3 linked regions of the Danio rerio genome follow. The protein of the gene in region 2 interacts with the protein of the main gene of each other region in a pairwise test. Links are inferred from orthologs where the notes say so. Each region holds a gene or a part of one and is shown on either strand. Other genes may lie near its edges.

Region 1 (3,663 bases), on a different chromosome or scaffold from region 2:
GGAGTGGAAGTAGATCATGTCGCCTAATGAGCCATCAGTGAGGGCGGGACTAAACACTGGGATGTCATTCTGGAAAAACGATCATCCAATAGTTATTGAGGAAGGACTGATGTGAATGTATTTGATTCATGCGTTACCTTGTAGGCCCAGTAGTAGACCGAGTCAGGGTTGTTGATTTCTTTGCCCAGTCTGTGGATCATTTTGGAGGGTGTCCAGTGTGTGCCCTGATGACAAGCGTTCGATATTTAGTATTGGACAGAAAAAGTAATTAATTTAATTCAATTTAAAATATGTTGCAAATAAAATACAAAATTTTACAAATTCAATATTAAAAATATTAATAAAAATAATTAAATGAATTGTTGAATACATCAAGTGAAAAATAATTAAATAAAATATTAACTTAATTTCTTTCTTAAAACTTTCCTAACCATTTTCTCCAGGTTTACAAATACTGAATCACACAAATAATATATACATTTATATAATAAATTATAAACTATTAAAATGTATTGAAAAACAATTACATTTAAACAATCCAACTGACAGAAATTAAATACATTTAAATGACTAAATTAATTAATTTGATTAATTTAGAAATTTAAATGTATTTAATTTTAGTCACAAAGATCAATTTAATTTTAAAAAAGCTATATTAGTAAAATGAAATTAGTAAAAATCAATTTAATAAAAATAGAATAATCTCACCTCTATTTTTTTTTACAACACCACACAATAAAGAATATGTATTTCTTCAAATATTTACATTAATAAGTCCAACAAATAAATAGTGCTTTAATAAAATATTAATATAATAATACAGTCATCTAACTTCTGTTTTTGTACCAACATTATTTGATCCAAAATAAAATATTTACCACACCCAATATATTTAATTATACAAACATATATTGACTGCCGCTCTACCAAATGGTTGACCATGTTTTTACCGTTTTAAATAATGACTGTTAAAGTAATTTAAAGAATTACTGTTTTCAATAATGGTTTATGCACACAGCATTGTTAGTTTACAAAAAATAAAAAAATTAAATCAAACATAATCCTGTTGCACTATTACTACACTTGATTTTGGTTTTACTGTAAATAAAAACAAAACAAAAACAACAAGAAAACTTGTTAAATGAGGACCTGAAATATTTTATGACATGGCGATTTAGTGTTTAAAAATTTTTTTTTGAATATTTTTTATAAATAAATTGGTCGTACACTTCATATTTTCAGATTTTTCATAGTAAATGTATTAATTCCAGTACTTTTACCATAAACTGACATCAGCCATTTGGTAAAGGCTGATATTTTAGAAATTATGGGATGTGTTGTGGAAAATTGCATTGAGTGTGTTAACTAGCGACATGCACTCCAAACGTTTTTTTCTTGGTGGGGTAGTTAAAGGATTAAATAAATGAAACTCCTCACCTCTGTTTTTTGCTCCAGCACCATTTGGTCCAGAATCGGCATCAGCCAGTCTTCAAATTTACAGTAATTTTCATTCGGCACCAGGAGATTACCTATTCTATGACACAAAGTATCATTATATACAATAATAATTGCACTAAAAACTTTACAATTGTTTAAAAATGAAGTTTATATATATATATATATATATATATATATATATATATATATATATAAATATATATATATATATATATATATATACATACCTATTAATTCCTTGCTGCCGCAGCTCTTTTCCTTTCAGACTGAACTCTCCAAGGAAAGTTGGAGCTAAACATTTAATAAGGTCTTCTTCAATCCCTCCTGCTGTGGTCACGATCACATCTACCTACAAAAAAACATCACAATATTACATAACAAAGACATTTAGGGCTCTATTTTGACGGTCCATGCGCAGAGTGCAAAACGCAGAGCGCAAAACGCAGGGTGCAAATGCTTTCAGGGCGTGTCAGAACGCATTTTTGCTAATATAAGGACGGGAAAATCCGTTTTGTGCCATGGCGCATAGTCTAAAAGGGTTGAGTTTATTTTCTTAATGAGTTATAGGTGTGTTTTGAGAATAAACCAATTAGAGTCTCATCTTCCATTCCCTTTAATAGTCAGCTGCGTGGCGCCAAGAGCGCATTCGCTATTTACAGGACGCAAAGTAAGTCTAAGTGGAAAAACTGAGCATTTCACAAGCAAACAGTTAACAGTTTTTTTTAACAGAAAACTGTTAAACAGAGCATCTACTGCGTGAGAATGAGAGATAATGGATCACTTTCACTTTCGCTCTAGGATAGGAAAACCTTTACGCACAGACATCAATTAGTCTATAAATAATTAATTTAGTTTGTTAAGCGCAAAGATTCGTTTCAAAACTATTTCTACATTCAGTTCTAATTTCCAGCAAACGAATAAATGAACAATAATAACAGCAAAATGTGCTCAAAAACCTGAGCTATATCCTAAAACACATGCTGTGCCCCATATGGTCTAAAACCTGCAGGTGGGCAAATCTAAGCTTGTTTTTAATAAAACAAATATAAATATGGATATAATAAATAATACTGCTAATAATAATAACATTATACAAAAGCAAATTGTTACGAATGAACTGAAAAAGCCTCCCGAGATGAAGAGACATAAAAGCAGTGATTTTTCATATTTATGTAGGCTAGAAAATAATATGTTTTATTTTAATCCTTTATATTCATATCCTATATCTATTCTTATTATATACTATATATATCCTTAATATTTAAATTTTTTCATATGTAAAGATATTTGCCTATTGCTCTCTTGTGCGTATTAAGCAGTGTGTAAGCGAGGCGCAACTCTGCGCCGGAGTTTAGACCGGGTTTGTTTTGGTCTAATGTAAAATCTATTATAGATTCTCAAAATAGCAACGCGCCAGCGGTCCGCCTCAGAACGCCTTCCTTTTTAGACCAGAACGCCTATGGGCGCACAAATGAGCGCTAATGCATTTGCTATTTAAACAGCGTAGTGTAACGCCTCAAAACAACTCTTGCGCCAAGCTGAAACTAGCAAACAAGTATTGCGCCACGCCTTGTGCCACATTGCGCCAGGTGTATGATAGGGCCCTTATTATTAGCACTCCTGAATTATTAGCCTCTCTGCATATTTCCCCCCCACTTTCTGTTTAACAGAGAGAATATTTTTTTCAACACATTGCTAAACATAATAGTTTTAATAACTCATTTCTAAAAACTGATTTATTAAAATTGCGTAAAAGTAATTTACTCCATTTTGGAATAAGACTGTAACATAAAAAAATGTGGAAAAAAGTGAAGCGCTATGAATACTTTCCGCATGCACGGTCTAGATTGCCAAAACAAACATTTATTTTGCATGTGATTAATGTTTTCCCAACATTAATAACATAAAAATAACAAAAGTAAATCCAAACATACTACTTACTATAAAAGAATGGTAAAAAGGTGTAGTAAAGCCCATTTATAATAGTCTTTTGTGTCCGACGCATGCACTATCAATGTTAAATATGTCTGTTTGCTTGTTTTCATCATGATTCCTGCCATACTACAAGTTCTAGTAAATACTGCCTGGTTATTTTCCACCCACCCAATATGCTTTTTTTTGTTAATATTCAAAATGTTGTTGTTTTTTGAAGTGCAAGCCATAGTTTGAAAGGAAGTGGTACCATCTTGTGCTGTGTGAGGTATC
Region 2 (4,427 bases):
TCCAACAACAGATTAAAAATAACAATTATAAATAAATAAGTAAGTAAGTAAATAAATAAATAAATAAAAAACTTCTTGCATAGACTTACATGTACTACATTGACAGGGTAAGTGTGATGTGGGCATGGCAGCCTGGGCATTGCACTGGACTGATCCATGCTACACGACACACTTTTTTAATGCATCACAAAGCAACTGACAAACACTCCACTTCAAAGCTGATCTTATAACTTCCACCTCCTCAACTATTGTTAAAGCTGTTGTTGTTTTATTATTAATAATAATATCGAAATTATAATCAGTGTGAATATATTATAGTTATCACGTTTTTCTGCCTACCTCTTGGACTTTTATTACTATTATTATTCATTAATTTTCTTTTCGCCTTAGTCCCTTTAAAAATCCAGGGCGGAATGAACCGCCAACTTATCCAGAAAAAAACTCAACCTCTTGTAAACTCAAAAATAGAAAAGTAGTTCATGTTAACGTGTAAATGAGCTAAATGTGTTAATAAAGCTCTATTGAAACTAACTTAAACCCCAAATGTGACCCTGGTGCAAGTATCATTTTGGCAAAAGCCAAAAATGCATGTAGGTCAAAAGAATTGAATTTTCTCTTATGCCAAAATCATTGTATTGAGTAAGGACCATTAGGATATTTTCTAAATATTACATTGTAAACAAAATTTGCATCGCTAAACACTAGAAAACTTTAAAGGCGAGTTTCTCTATATTTTTTATTTTATTGTAAGCTTGGTAAGCTTAGTTGGTAATAGAAAGTGTAGTTATTCCGATTTAATTCATTCATTAATTTGATTTCAGCAGTCCTTTATTCACCAGGGGTTACCACAGCGGAATGAACCCTCAACCTATTCAGTATATGTTTTACACAGCATATGCCCTTCCAGCCACAACCCAGTACTGGTAAACACCCATACACTCTTACACATACACTATATATATCTATATATATATATATATATATATATATATATATATATATATATATATATATATATATATATATATATATATATATATATATATACTATACTATACGGTGCATGTCTTTGGACTGTGGGGGAAACCCGAGCACCCTAAGGAAACCCTCACTCAGGGAGAACATGCATCTCCAAACAGAAATGCCAACTGACCAAGTCGGGATATCATTAATGTGATGTATAAATCTTAATTACCAAAACCTGCCTTTAATAGTTTCTTGTTTTATAGTACAGGGTAACAAATATGGGACGTTTGTCATGAAAGTAGACGTAGTCGAGTGTAAAGATCGCTAGAGTTGTGTATTGGGACATGGCCATTGTAGCTTGTAGGTAAGGGATAGTCTAAAAATTGGCAGCTACATTTATCTAGTCCTCAAACGAAATTAAACTACAGCTTGTTCTCTTTGTAAAAGCTATTATTTAATTATAGGTAACTAACATTAATCTATTATTTGTCATCAAGGAAGCAAATACATTAAAAAACTAAAATAATAAAGCGAGACTGCAAAAAAAAAAAAAAAAAAAGGGAATTTGACATGACCCCTAGATGAGTGTTCTCGCGAAAGAGGTGTTATCGCGAGACAAGAAGGAGATGTTTTGAGTCTACATGCGTCTGTTTTATGACAACCTGGGTTAGTAAACATTGATGTTTTAATTTAATGTTGTTGTATTAAGTAGTTATTCGTAATAATGCTTTGTCATCTCAGACTATGTAACCTTACGTCATATTTATTTTGCTTTAGGTCATTTTGCGTACAAACACAATGTTACTTTAATGTCGTGTAATAATCAAATGTAGGGGGGGGCATTGTGCTGTACGTTACACTCATAAATAGATTAAATAATTAGATACGTCTTCTGTGGAACTTTGTCATGACATTGCCATGGTTTAATTGTAGTAAATATAATAACAATTATTTCTTGTTGCATAACCCACCATTTTTTTATTTAACTACCACAATGTTACTACAAATGTTGTGGTTAATCTATAGCATTGCATTGATTTGTTTTTACAAGGATTTAACTACAGACACACACACTCACCGGCCACTTTATTAGGTACACCTTACTAGTTGGCTACCAGGTTGGATGCCCTTGTGAACTGCTATAATCCTTCGTGGCATAGATTTATATTAGAAATATTCCTCCGAGATTTTGCTCCATATTGACATGATAGCATCATGCAGTTGCTGCAGATTTGTCAGCTGCACATCCATGATGTGAATCTCCTGTGCCACCACATCCCAAAGGTGCTCTAGTGGATTGAGATCTAATGACTGTGGAGGCCATTTGAGTACAGTGAACATATTGTCATGTTCAAGAGACCAGTCTGAGGTGATTCACGCTTTATGGCATGGTGCGTTATCCTGCCATAAGTATAGTATAGAACTCCATGCCTTCATGTTGTTGAAGCAAAATTCTGACCCTACCATCAGAATAACGCAGCAGAAATCAAGACTCATCAGACCAGGCAACATTTTTCCAATCTTCTATTGTCCCATTTTGGTGAGCCTGTGCGAATTGTAGCCTCAGTTTCCTGTTCTCAGCTGACTGGAGTGGCACCTGGTGTGGTCTTCTGCTGCTGTAGCCCATTCGCCTCAAGGTTGGACGTGTTGTGCGTTCAGAGATGCTTTTCTGCATACCTCTGTTGTAACGAGTGGTTATTTGAGTTACTTTTCAAAACTGAGCTGGTCGGGTTTGGCGATCCTATCCCTCTGCATTTATCAGGTTTTGGTGAGCTTTCCACTTATCAAAAACCTGTTGTTAGAAACCTAGGATTTCAATTCGACAATGATCTGAAATTTAACAAGCAATTAAATACAATTGTTAAATCCAGTTTTTTCCATTTACGACTTGTGGCAAAAGTAAAGTCGTTTCTTTTAATTTTTAATGACCTTGAGGAGGTGATCCATGCTTTTATTTTGGGAAGACTTGACTATTGCAATTCCCTGTATGTGGGTATTAGTCAAAATGCCCTAAATAGATTGCAATTAGTACAAAATGCGGCTGCGAGACTTCTGACAGGGACTCGCAAGTTTGCACACATATCCCCAGTTCTTTCCTTTCTGGGCTGGCTGCCTGTTAGGTCACGGATTGATCTGGCACCATCTTACTTATTAGACCTGCTACATGTATACAATCCTGGTAGGTAACTGAGGTCTTCTGATGAATTTATTCTATCTATACCAAGGTCCCGGTGTAAGCGGAGTGGGGATCGGGCTTTTGCTGTTGTCGCCCCAAAACTCTGGAACGGGCTTCCTTCCCACATCAGACATGCTCCAACTCTACCTGTTTTTAAAAAGCATTTGAAACGCCATCTTTGTTCTCTAGTATTTGAGCCTTTTTAATGTTGAGGGGTTTGCCTTATGTTTTAATTGCTATGTGTGTGATGTAGATTTTATTTTTAGTATTGATTGTGTTCAGCACTTTGGGCAACGTTGTGTTGTACAAAATGTGCTATATAAATAAATAAACTAAATAAATAAATAAACTAAACTGTTGCCTTTCTATCAGCTGGAACAAGTCTGGCCATTCTCCTCTGACTGCTGATGTAAACAAGGCATTTGCGTCCCAGAACTGCCGCTCACTGGACTTTTTCTCTTTTTCGGACCATTCTTTGTAAACTCTAGAGATGGTTGTGTGTGAAAATCCCAGTAAATCAGCAGTTTCTGAAATACTCAGACCAGCCCGTCTGGCATAAACAACCATGCCACATTCAAAGTCACTTAAATCAGCTTTCTTCCTCATTCTGATGCTCGGTTTGAGCTGCAGCAGATCGTCTTGACCATGTCTACATGCCTAAGTGCAGTGAGTTGCTGCCATGTGATCGGCTGATTAGAAATTTGCATTAACCAGCAGTTTTGACAGGTGTACTTAATAAAGTGGCCGGCTAGTGTATTTTTACTGTAATAAAACTGACTCTTCTTGGCAGCCTCTTTATTTGACGATGATATTAATTCCATTCTGTTGTCAAATTAAAGCAGCTCCGCCATGGACTCGCAGTCATCGATTCTGGAGGAGAACTTGGAGAAGATTTTGAGGGGTGAGGGTCTCGAGTTTGATTCAGTCGCTGAACAAGTGGACCCAGTCACACTGAGGAAGAACGTGTGTTATATTGTCGGCGCAGTCATTTTCAATTCAAAGGTAAAGATGGTGTTGTTGTTCTTGCATGTGAGTGTTGTCTATTTACTGGAACAAGACTGTTTGGTAGCAAGGAATGAAACTGAAGGCAGCACAGTCAATGTGGCTTAATTTACAGTATGCCAGTGTTCAAGAATTATTCTCAGTACTTTATTTACATACTGGTCATGTGACCATGATCTAAATATTGAAAGATATTTCAAACCAAGTTAGGTTTGAAAATAGATTAATAATGAACAAAAATGAACAAAAGATTAATGCAATTCTCATTCAGGAATGTTTTGGG
Region 3 (3,467 bases), on a different chromosome or scaffold from region 2:
TAATTTGTAAAGTCAGAAAACAAGTCAAAATTACGAGACGTGTCAACATCATAAAACTTAAAATTATGAGTTGTAAAGTTAAAAAAAAAAGTCAGAATCATGATAAAATGTCAAAATAGACAGTTAAATTTACAATTATTAGTACAGTTGAAGAACAGAAATCAGTAATGGAAAAATTGAGTCAAAAAATGTGAAACTGAGTTGTGAAGTAAAAAATCAAGACAAATAGTCATACACAAATAGTCAGACAAAATTATGAGATAATGTCAAAATTGACAGTCAAGATTTTTTAAATTATGGGTTGTAAAATTAACAAAATAAAGTTAAACTAATGAGATTAATGAAATAGATAAATGAATAGTTATGGGTTGTAAAGTCAGAAAAAGACAGTTAAATTACAAGATGTCAAAATGTAAAATTAACAATTGTAAATAAATCTAAATTATAACCTAAAAAGCCCAAACTATGCCTTTGCTGTCAAAATAGAGGATAAAGTGGTTTTATGAACAGCGGCGGTTCTAGGATTTGATTCATCAGGGCGGTTTCCACAGTAATATTCATACCTGGTGTAAATGACACAGGATTGGTTTTCTTTTTTACATGAGAACATTAGTTTAATAAAGAGTCCCTGAAATGTTTTCAAGTGACAAAAACGAAACAACATCCAACATTACTTTTATTGAAATAATACAAACAAGACAAATACATTTTTATAGGATCTCTTATTTACATCAAAAGGTAAACAGCTTACCAGATACATTCAGCTATATTAGATTGTGGCTGATATGACTTTGCAGGACTTGGACTATTTGATAAGAAATGCAAAATACGGAGCATCTGTAAAATTAATCAATTGGATAAAAACCAACTTAAATGGTAAAGTTAACGAATAGGGGTTTTAAAAATGCGTTACGTGCAGCAACATCCGGTATGGCCACAGGGGGGCTACAGAGCGCTTCCACAACTGCTCGGTGTTGACAGACTCCCGCCTGACTTAACATGTCGTGTTTTTTACATGAAATGAGGAACTACTGTCATAACAGACCACACACACAAAGCTTTCTGTGTGCTTGTGGTCAAATTTATTCAACTGACATTCATAGGAAAAGTTAATTCCCGTTCATTTCTAATCCATTAATGCGTTTCTCAAGCAACAATTTAGAAGTGCTGAATGTGCAGAAAACAATATGATGTTAAATAAACCTTGCTCATTTAATGTATTAGTTAAAACAGAATCATCTCTGCCTGTTCTAACACAATGACACTTTCACATACACTTAACCAAACAAAACGTCCTGTTGCAATCAAATGATGAGCAATCCAGGCTAACCTCTGACTAAAGCATTATTTCTAAGGCAAAGAAACTCCTGGAATGTGAATTGAACAGCCTGCGAGCGTTTGATGGTGATGCTTCAGTTTTCAGTTTCGGAGGAGTCGCTGGCGTCTGTTAGACGTGTTTGCTTTTTGCGGACGTTCCAGTGCAAACACTGAGCCAGACTGTCAAACCAGTCGTAAACCAGATCATGACAGCATATGGAGGGGACTGGAAAGCAGGAGGTTGTGATCTTAATGCTGTGGAAAGAAAAACAAACTATGACGATGAAGAGATTCCACAGAGAGTTACAACTCATTCACGCCAAAGACCATAATCAGAACAACAAATAGAAGGCAGAGCTAGAGATATCATTCCCATTTAAACAATCGACAATTCAAAACAGTTAAATAATAGGAGGAAAATAGATTATCTGAGTGTTGCTCATGTTGGAAATGAATGGGAAACCATCATTTCTCCCTAATGTAAACCCATCTGATATTTTTGCCACACATTTCACTATAAAATTGAAGAGCATCAAAGCTCAGTGGAGAAACAAACTTCCACTTTTATTAACTGAACACGCCACAGAGTAAAGACTGATTCATGGTACGTCAAAACTTGTGCCAACATGAAATGGACTATTTAGTATCATCGAGTTAAACAATCCAGCTCTATTGCTTTGAAAACTGGTTTTTCCAGACATTTAGGCTCACTGAATGGAGTTTGTTTGTAGTATATATAGTTTGTCAGCTCCTCTGATTGACATCTGCTTTTAAGATAAATTGTTAATAGATCTAAAATAAGCCTCTAGTTTCAGAATTTTGTCAAATAAAACAAATGCAGGGTGACTGTTTTAAAGAGCACCTGAAATCAAAACTAACCATATTGGTTTTGTTAGCTCACATTGCTAGTTTTGTGACAAACAATTCATCTGTGTGTGTCATTAAGAAAAATAAGTAAATATTTGCCCTGGAAAAACCTGAAAATGTGCATCCTGTGTGTTTTCAATTCAATTCTCACATCACGTCTGTCTGAGGTACTGACAGATGGAGGGGCGTGGTTAAGTATATTAGGAAAATATTATTACGATAATATTATTACGAAATCCCACATCATCTTATTACAAAGAGATGGTTTAACCTAAAATGTCTAAAAACTTTTAAAATAGCCATGGCTTTAGCATGCTGTCTCAGGAAAGAGCCCTGAGGTCAGAAGATGTTCAAGCTTGGGGCTCCCTCTGGTTTCATACGGGGAGAGGTGAGCCTGAGCTCAGGTAAGTCTTGAGAACTCCCTAGTATTATGCTAGAAAAATAAAGGGGGGAGAAGTCAGGGAATGGGGGATTCTTCAAGATGAAGATGGCTAAGTTAAGGAAATCTGGCTATTTATTTGCGATTTGGATTCGTAAATATGTTTTAACCTAAAATGTCTAAAAACTTTGTACAATATAAATGGTCCCAGCCCATTGATATTTTCAGTTTATGTGAGAAATAAGAACTTTTTTTTGTCCCTGCAAAATTCTCTCTGAATCAGGTTGGAGAGTTCATAGATTGCAAACATACAGTGGTCTCGACCCTTGCCATTACGTTTACTTTTCGCAGTCTCTCAGTTTCACTGATTTTTTTGTGTAGTTTGACATCGGTTTGTGTTCTGCGATTGGCTGTAGACCATTGTCAATCAATCTGCTCTGTGCCGTGTCTCCTGTACACTACAGAAAGCGTTCAGCTTCCTAAATTACAGAAATCTTTTATCACTAGCAGTGTGACTCTGAAATGCTGTACGGTATGTTTGCAAGTTTTCTCCTCACATTGTGGACGAAACATTCTGCATCCAAAAAAAGTTCTGTACCCAAAAGGCAGAGGTAGATGCTAATTATTGCACAAAAAAATTCTGTTTTTGTCTTCCCTGTTTAACGGCTGTTGAGTTTCCTGTTCAGGTTCTTTGTATTAGTCTCTATAATGACATTCTTTCCAGTGGCTTTCGCAATGTCGCCGAGTCACTAAAAATAGCAGTGACAGGATACTTCCTTGTGGTGCTCCTAGCTCTTGTTAATGTGGGTAAAAGAGGGAAATTACTAGTCAGACTTTAAATGATCTGATTAATCTGCAAATGCCCTTGAAAAACAAGCTGATATAAATCTTTCAAAATTGCTAA

The links.
Region 1: the proteins of nudt18 (region 2) and dhps interact in binary tests that used the Homo sapiens proteins (3 or more experiments, as listed by UniProt). The two-hybrid records come from large-scale screens. The link is inferred for Danio rerio from reciprocal best matches to the Homo sapiens genes NUDT18 and DHPS.
Region 3: the proteins of nudt18 (region 2) and nadkb interact in a two-hybrid assay, tested with the Homo sapiens proteins (2 studies listed by BioGRID and IntAct). The two-hybrid records come from large-scale screens. The link is inferred for Danio rerio from reciprocal best matches to the Homo sapiens genes NUDT18 and NADK.

Annotation. Positions count from the first base shown.
Region 1 is NC_133178.1:11,965,815-11,969,477, forward strand, and holds part of dhps (deoxyhypusine synthase), read right to left. Parts: coding exon 3,641-3,663; intron 1,808-3,640; coding exon 1,686-1,807; intron 1,535-1,685; coding exon 1,438-1,534; intron 225-1,437; coding exon 138-224; intron 70-137; coding exon 1-69. UniProt on the Homo sapiens protein: Catalyzes the NAD-dependent oxidative cleavage of spermidine and the subsequent transfer of the butylamine moiety of spermidine to the epsilon-amino group of a critical lysine residue of the eIF-5A precursor protein to form the intermediate deoxyhypusine residue.
Region 2 is NC_133183.1:55,665,193-55,669,619, forward strand, and holds the start of nudt18 (8-oxo-dGDP phosphatase NUDT18), read left to right. Parts: upstream 1-1,580; 5' UTR 1,581-1,632; intron 1,633-3,981; 5' UTR 3,982-3,991; coding exon 3,992-4,144; intron 4,145-4,427. UniProt on the Homo sapiens protein: Mediates the hydrolysis of oxidized nucleoside diphosphate derivatives. Hydrolyzes 8-oxo-7,8-dihydroguanine (8-oxo-Gua)-containing deoxyribo- and ribonucleoside diphosphates to the monophosphates. Hydrolyzes 8-oxo-dGDP and 8-oxo-GDP with the same efficiencies.
Region 3 is NC_133177.1:40,241,299-40,244,765, forward strand, and holds the end of nadkb (NAD kinase b), read right to left. Parts: intron 1,573-3,467; coding exon 1,413-1,572; 3' UTR 659-1,412; downstream 1-658.